Arabidopsis thaliana: one gene and its partners. The protein of the gene in region 1 purifies or fractionates together with the protein of each later gene. This does not show direct contact. Each region holds a gene or a part of one and is shown in the gene's direction. Other genes may lie near its edges.

Region 1 (4,430 bases):
TTGGTGGACAAAGGATGTCTTCAAAGATTTCAGATTTGGGTCGAATCTTTCTAACCCAGAAGGGCTGATGCAGCGTATCTCAAAGACGAACGTGTTGTTCGTCCCGTTTGGGCTGGCTCGTTGTTTGGGTTTTGTTTCTCATGGGCTTCATGTTTATTTAGCCTTTTAGTACTTGTATTCGTTTGCTTCTCTTTTATGTTAGTTTTTTTTTTTATCTTTCTCTTATTTGAAAAGACGTAATTTAGTATTGTAATTAGTTTTGATTATTGATTAAAGAGTTTTAAAGAGTGTTTTGTGTAAAGCCTATAAAAAAGGACTCCTAACCCTAAGAGCTTGTGTTCAAGCCCTGTAAGGAGGACTTGCAAAACCTTGTCGATATCGATCCCTTAGAATCGATCTCGATCTTATCATTTATTGCTTCTTCGTCAAGTTTTGACGTTTTAGCAAGATCTATTCGTGAATCCGACTTTTCCTGCAATCATGGAATAAGAATGTGTTTTTTTTTAAAATGTGTTTATTAAAGAAAGAAGGAAAAAAAAAGTTTTAGTTACATTTGACGTGAACTCTTTGACTTGTGTGGGTGCAATACTATATCAAAAAAATTGGGAGTAGTAATACAGTTACCACTAAAGTTTAGGGACATAATGAACAAAAAAAAAAAAAAAAGTTACACATCTTATGAATTAGACGGAGATTTCGCTGCCAAGTGCCGACGATGCGACGGCGAGAAGAAAAGCGTCGAGAATTTCACGAAGCTCTTCTTCAAACACTGTATCCTCCTTCATCGCCACCTTCTTCTCCTTCCTATTCTCCGCCTCCGGTATTTTCTCAATCTCTATTTGTGTCAATTTGTTAGTTCTCGATTGGGTTATGAATCGATAAATGTTCCCGCCATTGTTTCAGGTGGAGGTTGTTGATAACGAACCATTCGATGTGTCACTCATAAACCCAGGTACGATTAATGTAATCTTAACAAGTTATTTACACTTTGGAAGTCACATTCAAATTTGTTTATTATTCAGAGGATTACTTGAAAATCGATTCATCTAATCACGGAGAAGACAAAGAAATCGGAGACGAATTGGGGATTGCAGAGAAACAGAGTCGAGCGCAGAGAAAGAGGTTAAGGAAGAAGATGCTCAAAGAGGAAGCAGCTCGACGGAAGAAAGTCATCGGACCTTTACTTCCGACTGAAATGCTTCAGACCCATGATGAAAGAAGTGTCGGAGATGCTTGTGGGAGCAATGTTGAAGAAGAAGATTCTGACGGTGGCGAAGAAGAGGTTGATGGGAGCATTAGCAACATATGCTCACAACTTGTTCGACCAAATGCCCAAGAGAAGAAAGAAGGTACACACAGCTTTTGACTTTTTTGACGATATCCTTAGTTTCAAATCTTTTGGGAAAAATTCGTACTTTATCTAACTAGATTTCATAACACATGTACGTATTCAGATCAAGGGTTTGACTTTAATCAAAATCTACTAGCTCATCAAGTTGTTGTCTCATTGTTGGTCCTGTGCAAATTACTCAAACGTTCTCTTTTGTGTATTAATTACATTACGCGTCTGACTCTTTATTTTTTGTTTGGTAGGACTAATCGGTGACAATGATAAGACGAGAAAAGTCAAGAAGAGAAGAAATGCTAAGAAACTGGCCAAAGAGAGTTCTAAGAATATCCAGGATGGATCCAATGCAATCCCTGAAATTCCTAATTAGGGTTCAAATTATCACAGACCTTTATCTAAGAGTTAATTACTTCATCTTTAATAATTCAAGGGTATATTACTAAATTTATAATTCTCGTCTATAAGATTTGTGAGTTCCTTTTATGCCCTTGTTAAGAGGATTTAACTCTTACATCGTCATTGCCATTGTGTAGCTTTTCTCTAAACCCTAAAACCTTAACTTTTTGCTCTTCTCCCTCCGCCTCAATCGCACGAAGACGATAATCGAATATGGCGGAACTAAAGCTATCAGAGAGTCGGGACTTAACCAGAGTCGAGCGAATCGGCGCACACTCACACATCAGAGGACTAGGTCTCGACTCTGCCCTCGAGCCGCGAGCTGTTTCCGAAGGTATGGTCGGTCAAGTGAAGGCGCGTAAAGCCGCCGGTGTAATCCTTCAGATGATTAGAGAAGGGAAAATCGCGGGTCGGGCTATTCTAATAGCGGGTCAACCCGGAACGGGTAAGACAGCGATTGCAATGGGTATGGCGAAATCTCTTGGCTTGGAAACTCCTTTTGCGATGATTGCAGGAAGTGAAATTTTCTCATTAGAGATGTCAAAGACAGAAGCTTTGACTCAGTCTTTTCGTAAAGCGATTGGTGTTAGGATCAAAGAAGAGACAGAGGTTATTGAAGGAGAAGTTGTTGAGGTTCAGATTGATAGGCCTGCTTCTTCTGGTGTTGCTTCCAAGTCAGGGAAGATGACTATGAAAACGACTGATATGGAAACTGTGTATGATATGGGAGCTAAGATGATTGAGGCTTTGAACAAGGAGAAAGTGCAGAGTGGTGATGTTATTGCCATTGATAAAGCTACTGGGAAGATTACTAAGCTTGGAAGATCGTTTTCGAGGTCTCGTGATTATGATGCTATGGGTGCGCAGACCAAGTTTGTGCAGTGCCCTGAAGGTGAGTTGCAGAAGAGGAAAGAGGTTGTACATTGTGTCACTCTTCACGAGATTGATGTTATCAACAGCAGGTACTTTTAACATTCCCTGAATTGTAAACATTGGTAATCATGATTTGGTATCTGCAATACCAATGTAGGTTGCAAAATTGAAGTTTTAGTGATTAGGTGATTGGGAATTTAGTTGATTTGGCTCACTAATTTCAGATGAGATGTCTCAAATTTGAGATTAATTCATTGCTTTATATGCTCTTGAAATTCTCAAGCTCATTTTCTTTAGCAGTGTGTAGTCAGAGCACTCTTTATAACTATAACTAACTCATCTGTTTGTGGTATCGTTAGAACCAATTTTGGTTGCGGAATTTAATGTTTGAAACATGATTGGTAGAACAAAAAAAAGTAACTTTGTGTACTTCTTCTTTGTTTGCTTGCAGGACACAAGGGTTTCTTGCCCTTTTCACTGGCGATACTGGAGAAATCCGATCAGAAGTCCGGGAACAAATTGATACAAAAGTAGCTGAATGGAGAGAAGAAGGAAAAGCAGAGATAGTTCCCGGAGTTCTCTTCATTGATGAAGTCCACATGCTCGACATCGAATGCTTCTCATTCCTTAACCGAGCTCTAGAAAACGAAATGTCACCAATCCTTGTGGTGGCAACAAACCGAGGAGTGACGACAATCCGTGGCACAAACCAGAAATCACCACACGGGATCCCGATTGATCTCCTTGACCGTCTTCTCATCATCACTACCCAACCTTACACAGACGATGACATAAGGAAGATATTAGAAATCCGTTGCCAAGAGGAAGACGTTGAGATGAACGAAGAGGCCAAACAGCTTTTGACATTGATCGGACGTGATACATCTCTAAGGTATGCGATTCATCTTATAACCGCAGCTGCATTGTCATGCCAGAAACGGAAAGGGAAAGTCGTGGAGGTTGAGGATATTCAGAGAGTTTACAGACTGTTCTTGGATGTGAGGAGATCGATGCAGTATCTTGTTGAGTATCAGAGTCAGTATATGTTCAGTGAACCAATCAAAAACGATGAAGCTGCTGCAGAAGACGAACAAGATGCTATGCAGATCTGAGGATCCACCTCTGTTTGCCTTATTTATCATGTTTCGTGGTGATATGTATGATTAGGATGTTGAACTCGGATTTATGTTTTTTTTTTTTTAAGTTGTGACGAGATTCGGTTCTAGAAAATGATTTAACCAAGTTCAATACAGATCGGTTTGGTACAAATTTGATTTTGTTTGGATTTGGTCAACTTATTTCGGTTCGGTTAGACTAGACTGTAGGAGATGGTTTTACTAAATTAGTCTGGCCCGTTAAGACTTTATATGGGCTTTAAGCCCAATATTGACGAGTATAGTGAATCTCTCTCTTATCATTAAATACATGTAAGCGTGTGTTGTTCGCAAAATTTGACACGCATGCAAGTCTCTACCATCAGAGTAAATTAATTACGAGTGTTCTCTTACCAGACTTCATCGGTTTTTGGTGGCGTGTTTTGGTGTAACGAATTTATTTTGCTTGGTCGGGTCAATTTCAACTTATTTAGTGAAATATTATCTAAATTTATGAATAAACGTGTGTCCTTGAATTTCTTGAATAAAGATTTCAAAACAAACGGCTTTGTAGAACAAGAGTTAATGATAGAAGGCCAAACAAATTGTTCCAAACTCATGGATTGAATTAATCTAATTTACACATCGCTTGCAAGTAATTAGAAAAAACAAACATCACACGCTGGTGAATCCAACCAAAAATATGCATTATAAAAAGT
Region 2 (6,510 bases), on another chromosome or scaffold:
AACTAGCAAGCAAGAACCTTTCTTCTTCTTCTTCTTAATCTCAGATTCTTGTCTGAAAACTTTCTCTTTCATTTTCTCTCAATTTAACACTTTCAAGATGCCGATCAACAAAGACCCATCAACACCTCCTCCTGTTATCGGAAAAATCGGTCCTTACACTGTCTTTATGACTCCTCCTGCGACTCCTAAACCACCTGAATCTCCCTCCGCTGTGTCTCAGAAGCCTGTGATGGCACCACCGGTTCTTCCTCCGCCGCAGCAGTTTAAATCGGTGGCTTCTTCTGACCAGGACGGCTCAGTTTTGGGGTTCTTTAAAAACGCCGTCACAAAGGTTCAAAATGGTGAGAAATCTGATAAACAATTAACTGATTTTCAGCTCAAAGTTTCCTCATTTTTAGATCTTGAATTTGAGATTGATTTTTCCGATACCCTTTGATTGATTGATTAGGAAATTGAACTCAAAAATGATATAAATCGTTGTAAAGTTTCTATCTTTGTGAAGTGATTGGAAAGTACTAATGTTACATGAATTCTAGCTTTTCATACTGTTTATGTGATTTGGTCCTAAAAGCAATTAGATTGTGAATTTGACATTCATGTTGTGTGTGTGTGTTCTAATCCATTTGACTACAGCACATTCAAGTGTGGATGATCATTTGGTGAGGTGGTTTGGGTTAAACCAATCTAAGTATCAGTGGGCTTTGGATGAGTACTACGAAAGCAAAGAATCAGTAAGTTTTTTTTTGAGTCTCTATATGTTTCCTTTGAGTCTCTATATGTTTAGTTTCTTGTTCTTGCGGGTCCTGTATCGTTCTTTGTACTAGTTTCTATCGATAATCGATTCCTTTAGTCCGATTGATTCATCAGCTTTTTGTTTCATGTACATTTTGCGTAAGCTTAGAAGTAAAGCTAGTTTAAGTGTTTTTTTGCTCTTTGCTTCTAGGCTAATGAACATAACAATATACAACCAATGAAATTGATACAACATATTTGAAGCTTGATATTCACTCAATATCAGTTGTAAAAATTGTTCATTGGTATTTGGTAGTCAAAAATGTCATTGATTGGTTTTAGAGTTACTACTCTCTTTAGTCATTGATTTGCTTATGTTCCTCAAGTAAATCTTGTAGTTAACACATATCTTTTGAATCGAACGCAGGATATGAAGACCGTGAAAGCAAAGGAGATGCCGGGGAAAGTACAGAGTGTATAAGCAACCATGTATAAACTCATTTCCCCTTTGGCCAATTCTAAAATCTGTTTTTCTGAGAGAGTTCAAAAAAGCTTGAGTCTTGAGGAAAGTTCTCTTCAGATGATATTTAATCTTAGAGATTTCTTTTGGTATATTTCAAAACCTATGTAGTAGCTCTTTCTAGTTTCATCTAACAATGGTGAAATCTCCAAAGCAAAATGGAGAGATGTCATTGGTCATTTGGTTTGTTGTAAGTTTAATCACATTATTTACTTTTTAATTGTATCGTTATAATCTATATATTGTCTCAATTCAAAAAAGTTTGCTCAGTGTTTTTCTTTTGATTGTTGTCATACATGAAAACTTTTGCTAGATACCTCTCAAAACTTCAATAATTATCTTCATCAAACCTAACAAGGCCCATTACAAAGGCCCAAAAACATTATTGTTTAATATTTTCCGATTAAATAAATAGATAAAAACTGAAATGTAATTGAGCAGAAAAAAAAACAAAAGAGACGAAGAAGGGTTTAAGTTAGGGCTTTTGAAGTAAACCAATTTTGTGCGTCTCCCTTTTCTTCTTCTCTTCCCAATTTCACCGCCTCTCTCTATCGCCGGAAATTAACCATGAAACGCGGCGGAAGAAGCTACGTAACTTCACCTCCATCATTCTCCAACGACGCTAAAAAGCTTCTCGTCTGCACAGGAAACACTGTCTCTGTTTTCAGCGCCGCCACTGGCTTACAGGTACCAAAAATTTAATTCTTCTTCGATTTTGTTAGGGTTTCTATTCGAATCATTGATTGATACATTTCTGTTTTAGATTACTTCGCTTGAAGGTCATACAGCTCCAGTAACAACTCTAATTGTTGTTCCTGCATCAAGTCCTGCTCAAAAAATCCTTTGTTATTGTTGGACTGCTTCTCTTGATGGTACTATTCGTCATTGGGATTTCTCTGGACCTGAGCTATTGAAAACTATTGATGCTCAGCTTCCGATTTACTCTATGGTGAGTATAAAAAAAGTTTGATACTTTGATTAGGTTTTGTGAGTGTTTTGTTTGATGAAATGAATCTATGTGTTTTGTGTGTTTTAGGTTATACCATCTCTTTTGAGCGAACCTCAACAAATTGATAAACGTCGTGAGTTGTCTGGTAAGTTGGTTGCTTATGTTTCCGTTGAGGATATAAGTGTGGTTAACCAAGGGTCTAAAGAGTTGCGTGGACATATCCGAAGATTTAACCTCGCTAAGTCGCGTATTCCTCGTGGAGATACTTTAAAAGAGGTTAGTTTTTTTAATGGACTTATTTGAAAGAGGTTTGTCTTTAATGTTGTCTTGAAGTTGAATTGTGTAAGCTCAAGTTATTTGCTTATTTCTTTGTGTAGACGGCAGAACCAGAATCTATTGTTATTAGTCCCTCGGGAGAATTTTTCGGAATCCGTCACAAGTGTAAAATTCATATATGGGATGTTCCTTCTGGAGGATCAAGGCATGCGGTTTCAAGGAAGATGACATTACATCACACAAAGGTTATCAATGCTTTTGCTTTTCATCCCACGGAGAGAGTTATAGCTGCTGGAGATGTAACTGGAAGAGTGTTGATTTGGAGAGGATTTGGTAATAGAAAACTTGCCTTGGGTAATCAAAAGAAAAAAGTGAGAGCCATGGTTGATTTGGACAATGCTGGAGTGAGAGGTGAAGATGATGCTGAATCTTGCACTACATGGCACTGGCATTCTGCTGAAGTTAATGTCCTTAATTTCTCTTCCGATGGAGCATATTTGTATTCAGGTGCGGCCGAGTTATATTCTGATATCCATTGGATTTATGAACCGACATAGACTAATAGGTCATGAGCAAATTTACTGTTTGAAAGTAATGTCCTGACTTCTTACTCCATATTGCGTCTGTTTTCTGACTCTTTAGGGGGAAGGGAAGGGGTACTTGTCGTTTGGCAGCTAGACACAGGGAAAAAGAAATTCTTACCAAGGATAGGATCCCCCTTGCTGTATTTCATGTGGTCTCCAGATCCAACTCTTTCTTCTGTAAGTCGGAGCTTACTCTTTCATTCTAATCTAACACACAACTGCTGAAAGCAAAAGGGAATGTTTTACTGATTTGACTACGAATGAGAGCTGCAGGTGGTTTGTGCAGATAATCAGATCCATTTGCTTAAAATGCCTTCCATGGAGATCTTAAGGACCATTTCTGGAATCAAGGTTCGTCTTGGAAACTTAATAATTAAGGACCTGTAATCATTCTCGTCAGTTTTGTCAACGATTCTAGGATTCTAGAAACTCTCGCAACCGCTTTACCTTTTTCTTGGTGTTTACTTCAATGTGTGTTATTTTGTTACAGCCTCCCCCATCATTGCCTAGGATGTATGAAGGCTTGGCTAGTACTGTTGCCTTTGATCGATCTTCTGGCATAGCTGCTTTGTGCACAGAGAATTATTGTGTACAGCTATATAATCTTCTCAATGACCGGGGAATTTCAGAGGTTAGAATTTGGCTCCAATATATCCTTAAGAAACTCTATGCCACTTTCTCCTGTCTATGAAATCTCTAACTTCTTTAATCAATGCTTTTGCAGATTCAAGTTTGTGAGAGAAACCATCAACCAGGAGATGAGATCACAGTAAGTACATTTCCTTGCTGTTTATTTGATAGTATATCTAAGATTATTTTCGTTTGGGTGATAATTTGAGTAAACGGTAATAGGTTGTGGTGACAGCGGTTGCTCTCTCCCTGGATGGCTCAGTGATGAGTACAACCGAGGTGAAACTTCCGGAAGATGGAATAGGAGGCTTAGTGTCCCTCAAGTTTTGGGCGTCTGAACCAGACAGCAAAACTTTCACCTTATCCACAATCGTATATGAACCTCATAGGTTAATATTTCACCCTCTGCTAATGGATAAAGCTTTATTTTTCACCATTACCCAATTTTCTTGTCATGTTTTATTTCTTGTAAACCTTGCAAACATAGATTTCAATTTCTCTTATTTAGTCTACAAACTGTTATATCCTTTGCAGAGAGTAAATTTTATTTTCCTGTATATCTTACAGGGATGCCGGTGTCTCAGCCATTGTGTTCCACCCTACCCGCTCCATGGCAGTGAGTACATCATTCGGTGGTGACTTCAAGGTAGTTCTTAAACTGATTTTACATTTTTCTCTCTGTGTTTTTTGTTTGTTATTATTGTCTTACTGATATCACTTTTGCTGTTTCAGATTTGGGTATGCAACAGTGACAAGAACCAGACGGATAAAGACTCTAGCTGGATATGTCACGCTGTTGGCTCTTATAAGTAATAGCTTCTCTACGCGCTAGGAAATTTCAACATTCACAAATTATTCGCCTTGGCGATCAAATTTATATTCTCTTGCCTTTGAATATTTTCCAGGAAGAAACCAATGACTGCTGCTGCTTTCTCTGGGGATGGCACTGTTATGGCTGTTGCGGCTGAGAATGTTATTACACTGTGGAATCCAGATAAGAACATTCTCTTGTCTGTTCTAGGATCGACACTCACGGTAAAACCTATGAAGTTATCCCTAAAAAAGCTGGAACCTTTTTCCATAAAGACCAATGTTTAAACCTCTCTATATATTATTACAGCCTATCACGAAGCTCTGTTTCGCTGGAAAGTCTGAGTTCCTTGTTGCTGCATCCCATATTCCAAGACCTGAACTATCTGTTTGGAATACATCAAAGTTATCTTTATCATGGTCATATGGGTTACGCATAGAAGGTCAGTATTATAATGCTTCTTTGATTTCCCCATGAAAACTCTTGCTGTGGTTTACTTAGAAAATGCTTGTTCTCGTTCTATAGCTGTCACCTCTGCAGTGGATTCGTCAGCATTTGCAGTCTTGGCTGTGATCCCAAAAACTTTTAAAACAGATGAATCTAAGGAGAACATCTTCCGTGGTAGAGATGGTGCCATTCTTTTGTTTAACGGATCAGATCCCAAGCCGGTATCTATATGGACTGTGATGAAGGTATGACATAAGAAATAGCCCGTTAGTATTTAACCTTGGAGAGACAGGAAAGAATCCAACGAGTTAAACAATGTCTAAATTGCAGGCTAGGGGAGGATCAATCTCATTTTTAGAAGGAGATAAGTCTCAGCTTCGCCTTGCATATGTAAATGGAAGCCATGAATATGTTGTCTTTGATCCCAATAGTGATGAGTCACATGAGCGTAGCGCTGTTGACTACGATGGTCTTGCTGGTCTGGAAGAGACAGGTAGTTAAAACTTAAAACATATTTGAAAGAACCTTTGTTGATTATACCATGTTACTAATCGAAAAAGTCTCAACCTTTTAGGAGACGCCGGGTACACATCCTTATACGGGCAGTTACCTGATTATGACAAGAAGAGAATGGAGGATGTTGAGTCGTTGGGAACACCGTTTGTATCATCAGAAAGACCGTGGGAAACAATATTCAGCGGCTCCACACTAAATTTCCCGCCACTTCAGAAATTATGTGCTGAGTTCTTTGAGTCCCTAATGGAGAAAAGAACGGCCGTTGTGGAATGAGACCTTACACAAAAAGTTTTTTGTAAGGTTTATTATACAGAAGAAGAGCTCATTTTTGCAGCCATCTTTGGTGAGCAAAGTTGTTGAGTTTGTTCAGGAAATTTTGTAGCTCTTTGTTGTGAGATTCGGTCCAGTTTATTTATGTTGTTGCTACTCAAAAAATACAGGATTCTAACCAATTGTGCCATGTTTGACCCAAAAACGAAATGAAATATCACGACCTGCCTTTTTTTTTTTCGTTTCTAAAATACGGCATGCATTTATATATTTTAATGCAAATTGTTCTTGAAATCATAATGAGATTTATTATACTGAGGGTGCTTCGTTTTTAAATTTGAAAAATGTTCATGAAATCGTTATATATCCTTAGTGGAAATAAGCAAAATAATTTGGGGACTTTTTACTTTTGCTAATAGATTCTCAATAATTGTGAAACGAGTCAGGTGCTCCTAACCCACCAAAAGAAATTATTCCAAAATCCAAATATTTCAACTAACACCTTGCATTATTTTATTTGAACTTTGCTTGATAACATTTTGCATTATTAAGTTGGAAAATGGGAATACAAATAGATATTTCATATTTCGTGATTCGAGGTTCATCTATTATATATTTAGCTCTTTTGGTGGTCCAATATGTTGAGCAAATTATTCTTTAAGTACATGAAAAAGGTAATTGCTTTGGGGACACTTACCTTTTTATTTTTATTTCCACATGCATGTAGGACAATAGTTTGCAAGGTTTGTGTTACGTCTTCGAAAAGCTTTCTACT
Region 3 (5,579 bases), on another chromosome or scaffold:
CTTAATGACGTTTTTAAGCTCCCTGCCCTGCTGTCTTTTTTAAGTTTTTAAATTATCTCTTTCTTGTAGACGGATCTCCTAGAGGCAGAGGAGGAAGAAGAGGTAGAGGAGGAAGAGGAAGGGGAAGGGGAAGAGGTGGTAGAGGTAGGATTACTTTAGAAATTGTTTATACAGTGTCGTAGTTTCGTTGTAAGCTTTTGCATGTGATTTGTGGATAAGCGTTTGAGTGGACTGTGCTAATTCCTTTTTTCGACTTATCAGGAAATGGACCTGCGAATGTTGAGTATGATGATGGAGGAAGGGGAAGAGGTGGCAGAGGTAGGATATCTTTAGCCAAATCGTATTTGAGTATAGATTTTTGCATATGATTTGTGGATAAGGGTTTGAATGTGTTGTGCTATTTCTTTTTTTGTTTGATTTACCAGGAAACGGATATGTGAACAATGAGTATGATGATGGAGGAAGGGGAAGAGGCGGCAGAGGTAGAATTGCTTTAGAATATTTCTTTCCAAATCTTAGTTTTACCTTTTAACATATTTGCATGTGATCGGCGGACAAGTGTTTGATTGGCTTGTGCTATTTCTTCTTTCGGATTTGCCAGGAAGTGGATATGTGAACAATGAGTATAATGATGGAGGTATGGAGCAGGACCGGTCATATGGCAGAGGACGCGGGCGTGGGAGAGGAGGTGGACGTGGTGGTCGAGGAAGAGGAGGTTACAATGGCCCCCCACCACCTTACTATGAAGCTCAACAAGATGGAGGAGACTATGGATACAACAATGTTGCTCCTCCAGCAGACCATGGATATGATGGTCCTCCGCCTCAGGGACGTGGTACGTTGATGATTTTGTTACACTAATGTTTTCTCATTAAATAATGATGAGTTGTAAATGTTTAAAAATTGTTGGAACAGGACGTGGCCGTGGAAGGGGAGGTCGTGGAAGAGGAGGAGGCCGTGGTGGATTCAACAGATCAAATGGAGCACCTATCCAGGCTGCTGCATGAGCGACCAGGGTCATTGAATGAAGTTGGATCTTTCTTACATTCTCATGTTTTTGTCTCTGTTCTTCAAAGCAACTTGTTGCCGTAGAATAATCTTTCGTTCATGTCGCTTTAGGTTATATATATCCTCATTTATTTTATCATGGATCTTGGATTTTCAAGTTTTTATTCCTTCAAGAGTTTTCTAGTTTTGTCTCTTTTTTGAGTTTTGGATATTTGTTTGACTCCAATTACATTCGTCGGCGTATTGACACTAACAAGTAAACAACCCCCTTTGGCATTGCCTTTTTCCATTGGTTCGTATATCAGTTGATTATATATTCTAACAACATAAAAAGATAACAAGAAAAAATAATGAATAATAAAATTGTAATTCCAAGTTCCAACGTGTTTTGAGACAAAAAGAAATTAACCCAACTTGCGCTGGTTGTGTTTTGGGCTATTCGAAGAAAGCGTACGAAAATAAGTGAGAGAGGTCCAAACAAAACTAGTAACCAAAAAGTTAATCGCCGTTGCCGGGGATCGAACCCGGGCCACCCGCGTGACAGGCGGGAATACTTACCACTATACTACAACGACATTTGTTGCTCAATCGTAATGTAGAAGATATAAATACTAATATGGAAAAAAGCTGTCTTGAACAAAAAGAAATATACTTTTTTTGTTGTGTCCAAAAAAAGGAAAATACTTAGGAAAGAAAAGAGTCTCAGCAGCATCAGCTCGTCCTTAAATCTGATCCATCATCGTCACTTTCTCCCGGCGAATTCCGTTTTATCGATTTAGTAAGCTCTCTGTCTTTATCTCTCCGTCTTTCTCAGTCAACAAATTGGTTGAAACTTCAATCGGTTCCTTGAAATCTCACCGGCTTAGTTGCATACTTCTGCAAAAACCCTAACCTTGTTTTTGTCTTTGTGAAGAGTAACGAGATTTGTGCAAAGATGACTCAGGACGTGGAGATGAAAGATAACAACACCCCTTCTCAATCGATTATCTCTTCTTCTACCTCTACTATGCAGAGTAAATCTCGATCTGAATGCTTTAATTCTCGAACTGTTTTCATAATTGCTAAGTTTCTTCTGGGTTTTGACGCTTTGTTTCTTTGTTTCCCAGATTTGAAGGAGATTGCAGCACTCATCGATACTGGGTCTTACACGAAGGAGGTTCGTCGTATTGCTCGTGCTGTGCGTCTCACTATAGGGCTTAGGCAGAAACTCACCGGCTCTGTGCTCTCTTCCTTCCTGGATTTTGCTTTGGTTCCAGGATCCGAAGCTCACTCTCGCCTCTCTTCCTTTGTTCCTAAGGTATTTGTGGGTTTTACTTCTTCACTTTGATGTTTCAGAATTCTCAACTTGGTTGTTCCTTTTAGCATCTGGCTTTAGGTTGTTTAGATTCGTGTTATGGTTGTTATACTTTCTTTTGATGTTGTGAATGGCAAGTTATCTAACATACAACTGGCTTAGAGACTGAAATATTGGAACTTTTAATGGTTTAGGGTGATGAACATGACATGGAAGTTGATACTGCCTCATCGGCCACACAAGCTGCTCCTTCTAAGCATCTACCTGCAGAGCTCGAGATCTACTGCTACTTCATTGTTCTTCTTTTTCTGATTGATCAGAAGAAGTACAACGAGGTAACTACTGCTGTATCTTTGTGTTTTGTCATAAGTTACTTTTCTGTTGTGATTTTAATTTTAATGAGTTGCTTTTAATCATCTCTTAGGCTAAAGCTTGTTCTTCAGCAAGCATTGCTCGTCTCAAGAACGTCAACCGAAGGACCATTGATGTGATAGCATCAAGACTCTACTTTTACTATTCTTTGAGTTATGAGCAAACCGGTGATCTTGCTGAAATTCGCGGGTTAGTAGCTCAAAGACTGTTTTAGTTTTGTACTTTGTCTTACACCTCATATTAATCAGTAGCTCAATAGTTAATAATCTGGTCATTTTTTCTACCTGCAGTACTCTTCTTGCGTTGCATCATTCTGCAACGCTAAGACACGATGAGCTGGGTCAGGTATGTCTTTGTTTAGCTCATTCAGTCGGCATTCATTATTTTGAAACTGTTACTTGCTTCTTATTCAAATTTATCATGTTGAATGCAGGAAACCCTTCTGAACCTGTTGCTACGTAACTATTTGCATTACAACCTCTATGATCAGGCAGAGAAGCTAAGATCAAAGGCACCTCGCTTTGAGGCTCATTCAAACCAACAGGTAGCTCTTGGCTATTCCTTCATACTCTAAGTTTTCTCGGTTCTCTAGATTCTATATTTGCATGAAAACTCCAATGCCACTTCTGCAATCTTTCCAGAGAATTATTTTTTCTATTCGCTATAGCATTTTCCATCTAGGAGGCTCTTGTGTTTTCTTTTCAATCACTAATTATTTGCCGAACTTACTTGAAGTGTCCATTTTGCCTGTCCTTTTCATACTTCTGACACCACCTCTTACCATTACCATCGATCTACCTTGTGTTTTTCTTTGCTACATATGAATTTTGTTCTTTTTTTAACCCTTCAATTGTTACTGTTTCAAAAGAATAAACAGCAAGATGACTTGTCTAAAACATTATACTTTGCAGTTTTGTAGGTACCTTTTCTATCTCGGGAAGATTCGTACTATTCAGCTCGAATATACGGACGCAAAAGAGAGCCTTCTTCAGGCGGCCAGGAAAGCCCCTATAGCAGCTTTGGGCTTCAGGATCCAATGCAATAAATGGGCAATTCTGGTTCGTCTACTGCTGGGTGAGATACCAGAGCGTTCTATCTTCACTCAAAAGGGTATGGAGAAGGCCCTCAGACCCTACTTCGAGCTAACAAATGTGAGTCCACTTTCATAATCTTGCTGCTGTGACATGTATTCATTAATTTATGAGCGGATAACTAAACTGGTATTAGTATGTGGTCACTTGTGATCTTGCTACTTCACTTCTGATTTTAAACCGGTTCCTACTTTTCACTTACTGGCCTATACACCTCTTCTGTTAAAATCTCTCTGTGGTCACTTGAAACACAATTTTGTTGCTGCTGTTGTTTTCTGCTCCTTCGAATTATATTGAACATGAATTTCTGGCTGTTTACTGTTGCTTTTTAGAGATATATGATGCAACTGGATAGTTGATACTGATTTTGATCTGAGGCTTACTATTAAAGCTCTGTTTTGATTTTACAGGCGGTTAGGATTGGGGACTTGGAGTTGTTTAGGACAGTCCAGGAGAAGTTCTTGGACACATTTGCTCAAGACAGAACGCACAATCTCATCGTGCGACTCCGCCACAATGTCATCAGGACTGGACTGCGGAACATAAGTATCTCCTACTCAAGAATCTCTTTACCCGATGTTGCCAAAAAGCTGAGGCTCAACTCTGAAAACCCTGTGGCTGATGCGGAAAGCATCGTGGCAAAGGCCATACGCGACGGAGCTATTGATGCTACAATCGATCACAAAAACGGATGCATGGTCTCCAAAGAAACTGGGGACATCTACTCGACGAATGAGCCACAAACTGCGTTCAACTCAAGAATTGCTTTCTGCCTCAACATGCATAACGAAGCTGTCAGAGCATTGAGGTTTCCTCCTAACACTCACAAGGAGAAAGAAAGCGATGAGAAGAGGAGAGAGAGGAAGCAACAGGAAGAAGAGCTTGCTAAGCATATGGCTGAGGAAGACGATGATGATTTTTAGACAAAGGTCATCTATTTCTTATAAGAGTTGACTCTCCATCTGTCTCACTTTTTTTATGTTCACAAGTTTACTTGGTACTCTTCTCATCGTCTCTAAGTGTTTCTTTATTGAGGATTTTTATCCTCAGGAACCTTTTTATTACTCTGGTTTCACTTTAGGAAAAGATATTTATCTTGTTGGTTTCAGAAGATCAAATTCAACTTCGTTTAATTGTGTTTGGGAGATTTTCGCATTTTAAGAATTGAACACTTGTAGTTATAGCTAGCTGTATTAGGTGGGTCATTATTAGAAATTGACCATGTGAAATGCTATCATCTCCAGGCGATGCATACCATTAAAATCCACATTCATAATTTACATTAAATGATAGATAAGCAGTCATAAATATCTAAAGAATGAAAACAGGACATGTGTATTGACCATTATGTGTATTGATACATTAGTCTATCTCTGCCAAACTAGGTCTCATTTTCTTGAATAAAACAATCTCATGTTATGCTTTTAATTATAGGTGTTTCTGGTTCGATTCATTAACTTCTTAATAATGACAAAAATCTGTAGAATAATACCCGGGCTCTTTGATAGCTACAACTGCCAACTATTTAATCCATACAATCAAAATGTAATTTTCATAATTGTAGATTTGTAATGGGTCAATATATTCTTACACTCTAATCATATCCAAACAAGCTCCTCAATTCCTTAATCTTGTTGTATCCAGTATCCATATTTTGTTTTCTTACTGCGGAAGTTACTTGGTAGTGTAGTCTGGATTTCGGATTGCAGACTTTGCAGTCCACGATTTTTCATATGTTGGTGACAACGAACAAGTGTTAAGTTGACGGAAGTGTTCGTAACAAACGACGTCGTGACGGTGATCTTCATCAACTT
Region 4 (3,006 bases), on another chromosome or scaffold:
AGAATTCGATTTGAAATCTTTATTAGATAGTTGAGAACTTGCTTAAGCTGAAATGATATGTATATTAGGGATTTTTATGGTTCCTATCGACTTAAACGGTGTTTATGATAGTCGAGATGCGTAAGTATTGTTAAGAGTAATGATTTAGTGAACAATGGGATACAATAATGAGTTTGGGATGATTGATGGAATGTGGCATTGTTGTTTTTGTTTGGTGTTGCAGTTGGTGCTGAGACAGAGGATTCTCAGATTGAGCTTTTGTTGAAGGAAGTGAAAGGAAAAGATTTGGCTGAGTTGATTGCTGCTGGAAGGGAGAAGTTAGCTTCAGTGCCGTCTGGTGGCGGAGGTGGTGTTGCGGTTGCTTCTGCTACATCTGGAGGTGGAGGAGGTGGTGGTGCTTCTGCTGCTGAGTCCAAGAAAGAAGAGAAGAAGGAAGAAAAGGAAGAATCCGATGATGTAAGTTTACTTTCCTTCTAACAAAAGTCTTGATCTTAATAGTAGCTTGAAATTTAACCTAAAAATGATGGCTCACTTGTGTGTGTTTTTGTTTTTAATTTGCAGGACATGGGTTTCAGTCTATTCGAGTAAGCTGGTAGTAGCATGAAAAGTCCGGTTTTGTTGTCCTCTTTTAATATTGTAACCTTTTGAAATCTATATGTTGTTGTTGTTTAGTTTGTATTCGATCATCTTTTTTAGACATTGCTGAAATTCTCAAGAGTTTTTGACCCGAATGTCATTTGCACTTTGTTGTTAGCATTTCTGCTTCTATCTCAATCGCCTTTGTCACTCTGGAGTTTTTAGTAGCCAACAAAAGCATTGGTCCTAGTCATGGTCTTAAATCTTGACTCGAATGGTGATGAGATACCTCTAGCCTTGACTTTGCTAATGATACGTTGTCGTTCATTTGGAACCTAGATTCAGATTCGGCTTACGTATGACTTCAAGAATAGTATTATTGTAAGAAAAGGATAAAAAAAAAATTCTAGTCTTGAATTGTTCCCCCTTCAATGCCGTCCAATATGTAAATACATCATAATTCGTATGAGAAAATAACTAGACTATGCTAAAACTTTGACACCACAAATTTATTAGTAACTTGCAAAACATATCACTTGTCAACTACATATACCGAGAAATGCCATACGCAGGCGATGTTTCGGAAACAACAGGTGTAGAGTTGAAGCTACTTTTGATGTCATCGACCAAGAAGGTGCTATAGAAGACGAGGTTAGAGGTGAAATCCCATCCATCAAACAAAATAAAACTAGAGAATTGTATAATCTGGTCGTTCTCTTCTCAACATCAATATTACCCGTCAATCGAAATATTGAGCCCATATAAATATGGGCTTGAAAGAACTGGGCCTAAATAAAATTTTAAATTCGGAGATACATTGATAAGATTAAAAACCCTAAGCGTATATAAATCATATAGTTTTCATTTTTTCGTACTTCTTCTCCATCGCCGTCTAAAAACCCTAATCTCACTCCGCCTCCTGCGAGATCCATCAACACTTCCGCAGTAAGCGCCTCCATTTCCATTTCTCTCTCCTTCTTCTCCTACGTAATCGTACTATGTTTGATTTTTGATCTGTTTTTGTTTTTCTTCAGAAAATGAAGGTTGTTGCTGCGTTTTTGCTTGCCGTCTTGAGCGGGAAAGCTTCCCCAACCACTGGCGATATCAAGGATATTCTTGGATCAGGTTCGTGACTTTGATTTGAGCATTGGAATGTATACATGATTATTCTAGTAGTGAGAATTTGTTTAACTTGAAATGTTATTGGAACTAGGAATTGTATATGTTTGCTGGAAATGAACAGTGTGATGCAATAAGAGGCATTATGGTGTTGGTATTGGACTGTGTTGTTATAGGTGATTGCTGTAATTGTGGTGGAGGAAGAATTGATGGAGTGTGGCAATTGTTATGTTTGATTTTGCAGTTGGTGCTGAGACAGAGGATTCTCAGATTGAGCTTTTGTTGAAGGAAGTGAAAGGGAAAGACTTGGCTGAGCTAATTGCTGCTGGAAGGGAGAAGTTAGCTTCAGTACCATCAGGAGGTGGTGGTGGTGTTGCGGTTGCTTCTGCTACATCTGGAGGTGGAGGAGGTGGTGGTGCTCCTGCTGCTGAGTCCAAGAAAGAAGAGAAGAAAGAAGAGAAAGAAGAATCCGATGATGTAAGTTTTACTTTCTTTCTGACAACAGTTTTTTATCTCTTCAAATGAAATGATGGCTCACATGTTGTGTGTTTTGTGTCAATTTGCAGGACATGGGTTTCAGTTTGTTCGAGTAATGCGGTATACTTGGCATTTGGTTTTGCTGTACCCTTTCGAAATCTTTATGTCGTTGTTTAGTTTGTTGTATTCGACTATCTTCTTAGACTTTGCTGAAATTCTCAAGAGATTTTTTTACTCAAACATCAGTCCACTTGTGATTGGCATTTATATTTCAAACTATTGCCTTAGTTACATCTTCAATAGTCCACTTATGAACGATCTTTAGTAAATTCTCTTATTCACTCGCTTACTAAGAATTAAACCTAAAGAGAATACAGAAGAATTCCCTAGAGTAAGGATTTGGTGTAGTGTAAAACAGACTCTTCCCTCTTTGTATTGTTCAGATTCTGGAAACATAAGATATGTGAATCCAATCAACACAGTACTCGAGATATGTTCTGATAAAAAAAATGTTGGTACTAACAATTTCAGTTTGGATGGGAAGGATTATCCGAATAAAGATATACCTAATTCTGATCAAAAGAGAGCGAAAATAAGTCTCTGGAGTTTAGATTGAGAAACTAAATGTCAACAAACCGGAAACAAAAAAAAACTGTGTCAAGTAACAAAAACAAAAGAAAAGACTCAAAGAGAGTAGCAGCAACGTAAGATTTGATTCCAAAGTGTCTCACAAGGGAGGAATGAGTAATGCTACTCCCTGTTTTATTCACTCATCACAAGTCCATCAATCAATCTATCTCTTTACTCTTGGACCTCTGGCTGCTTCTTTCCACC

What was found.
Region 2: the proteins of AT5G67630 (region 1) and AT2G18900 fractionate together in Arabidopsis thaliana (co-fractionation; one large-scale study listed by BioGRID). This does not show direct contact.
Region 3: the proteins of AT5G67630 (region 1) and EMB2719 fractionate together in Arabidopsis thaliana (co-fractionation; one large-scale study listed by BioGRID). This does not show direct contact.
Region 4: the proteins of AT5G67630 (region 1) and AT2G27720 fractionate together in Arabidopsis thaliana (co-fractionation; one large-scale study listed by BioGRID). This does not show direct contact.

What each region holds. Positions count from the first base shown.
Region 1 is NC_003076.8:26,966,834-26,971,263, reverse strand, and holds AT5G67630 (P-loop containing nucleoside triphosphate hydrolases superfamily protein), read left to right. Parts: upstream 1-1,863; 5' UTR 1,864-1,957; coding exon 1,958-2,706; intron 2,707-3,068; coding exon 3,069-3,729; 3' UTR 3,730-3,886; downstream 3,887-4,430. Other genes in the region: AT5G67640 (uncharacterized protein), read left to right, coding at 716-820, 904-952, 1,023-1,349, 1,594-1,718.
Region 2 is NC_003071.7:8,187,719-8,194,228, reverse strand, and holds AT2G18900 (Transducin/WD40 repeat-like superfamily protein), read left to right. Parts: upstream 1-1,692; 5' UTR 1,693-1,819; coding exon 1,820-1,939; intron 1,940-2,015; coding exon 2,016-2,201; intron 2,202-2,288; coding exon 2,289-2,477; intron 2,478-2,578; coding exon 2,579-2,984; intron 2,985-3,119; coding exon 3,120-3,238; intron 3,239-3,334; coding exon 3,335-3,412; intron 3,413-3,551; coding exon 3,552-3,692; intron 3,693-3,785; coding exon 3,786-3,830; intron 3,831-3,913; coding exon 3,914-4,080; intron 4,081-4,258; coding exon 4,259-4,337; intron 4,338-4,423; coding exon 4,424-4,500; intron 4,501-4,596; coding exon 4,597-4,726; intron 4,727-4,811; coding exon 4,812-4,944; intron 4,945-5,027; coding exon 5,028-5,194; intron 5,195-5,279; coding exon 5,280-5,442; intron 5,443-5,523; coding exon 5,524-5,738; 3' UTR 5,739-5,992; downstream 5,993-6,510. Other genes in the region: AT2G18910 (hydroxyproline-rich glycoprotein family protein), read left to right, coding at 98-341, 634-731, 1,160-1,213.
Region 3 is NC_003070.9:7,000,518-7,006,096, reverse strand, and holds EMB2719 (PAM domain (PCI/PINT associated module) protein), read left to right. Parts: upstream 1-1,664; 5' UTR 1,665-1,786; intron 1,787-1,921; 5' UTR 1,922-1,942; coding exon 1,943-2,021; intron 2,022-2,114; coding exon 2,115-2,305; intron 2,306-2,496; coding exon 2,497-2,637; intron 2,638-2,726; coding exon 2,727-2,863; intron 2,864-2,964; coding exon 2,965-3,019; intron 3,020-3,107; coding exon 3,108-3,218; intron 3,219-3,585; coding exon 3,586-3,825; intron 3,826-4,175; coding exon 4,176-4,688; 3' UTR 4,689-5,010; downstream 5,011-5,579. Other genes in the region: AT1G20220 (Alba DNA/RNA-binding protein), read left to right, coding at 70-144, 262-318, 426-482, 602-835, 916-1,007. UniProt on the Arabidopsis thaliana protein: Acts as a regulatory subunit of the 26 proteasome which is involved in the ATP-dependent degradation of ubiquitinated proteins.
Region 4 is NC_003071.7:11,817,083-11,820,088, forward strand, and holds AT2G27720 (60S acidic ribosomal protein family), read left to right. Parts: upstream 1-1,613; coding exon 1,614-1,701; intron 1,702-1,789; exon of another isoform or gene 1,790-1,835; coding exon 1,836-1,880; exon of another isoform or gene 1,881-1,923; coding exon of another isoform or gene 1,924-1,939; coding exon 1,940-2,172; intron 2,173-2,261; coding exon 2,262-2,288; 3' UTR 2,289-2,496; downstream 2,497-3,006. Other genes in the region: AT2G27710 (60S acidic ribosomal protein family), read left to right, coding at 224-456, 562-588; AT2G27730 (copper ion binding protein), read right to left, coding at 2,974-3,006. UniProt on the Arabidopsis thaliana protein: Plays an important role in the elongation step of protein synthesis.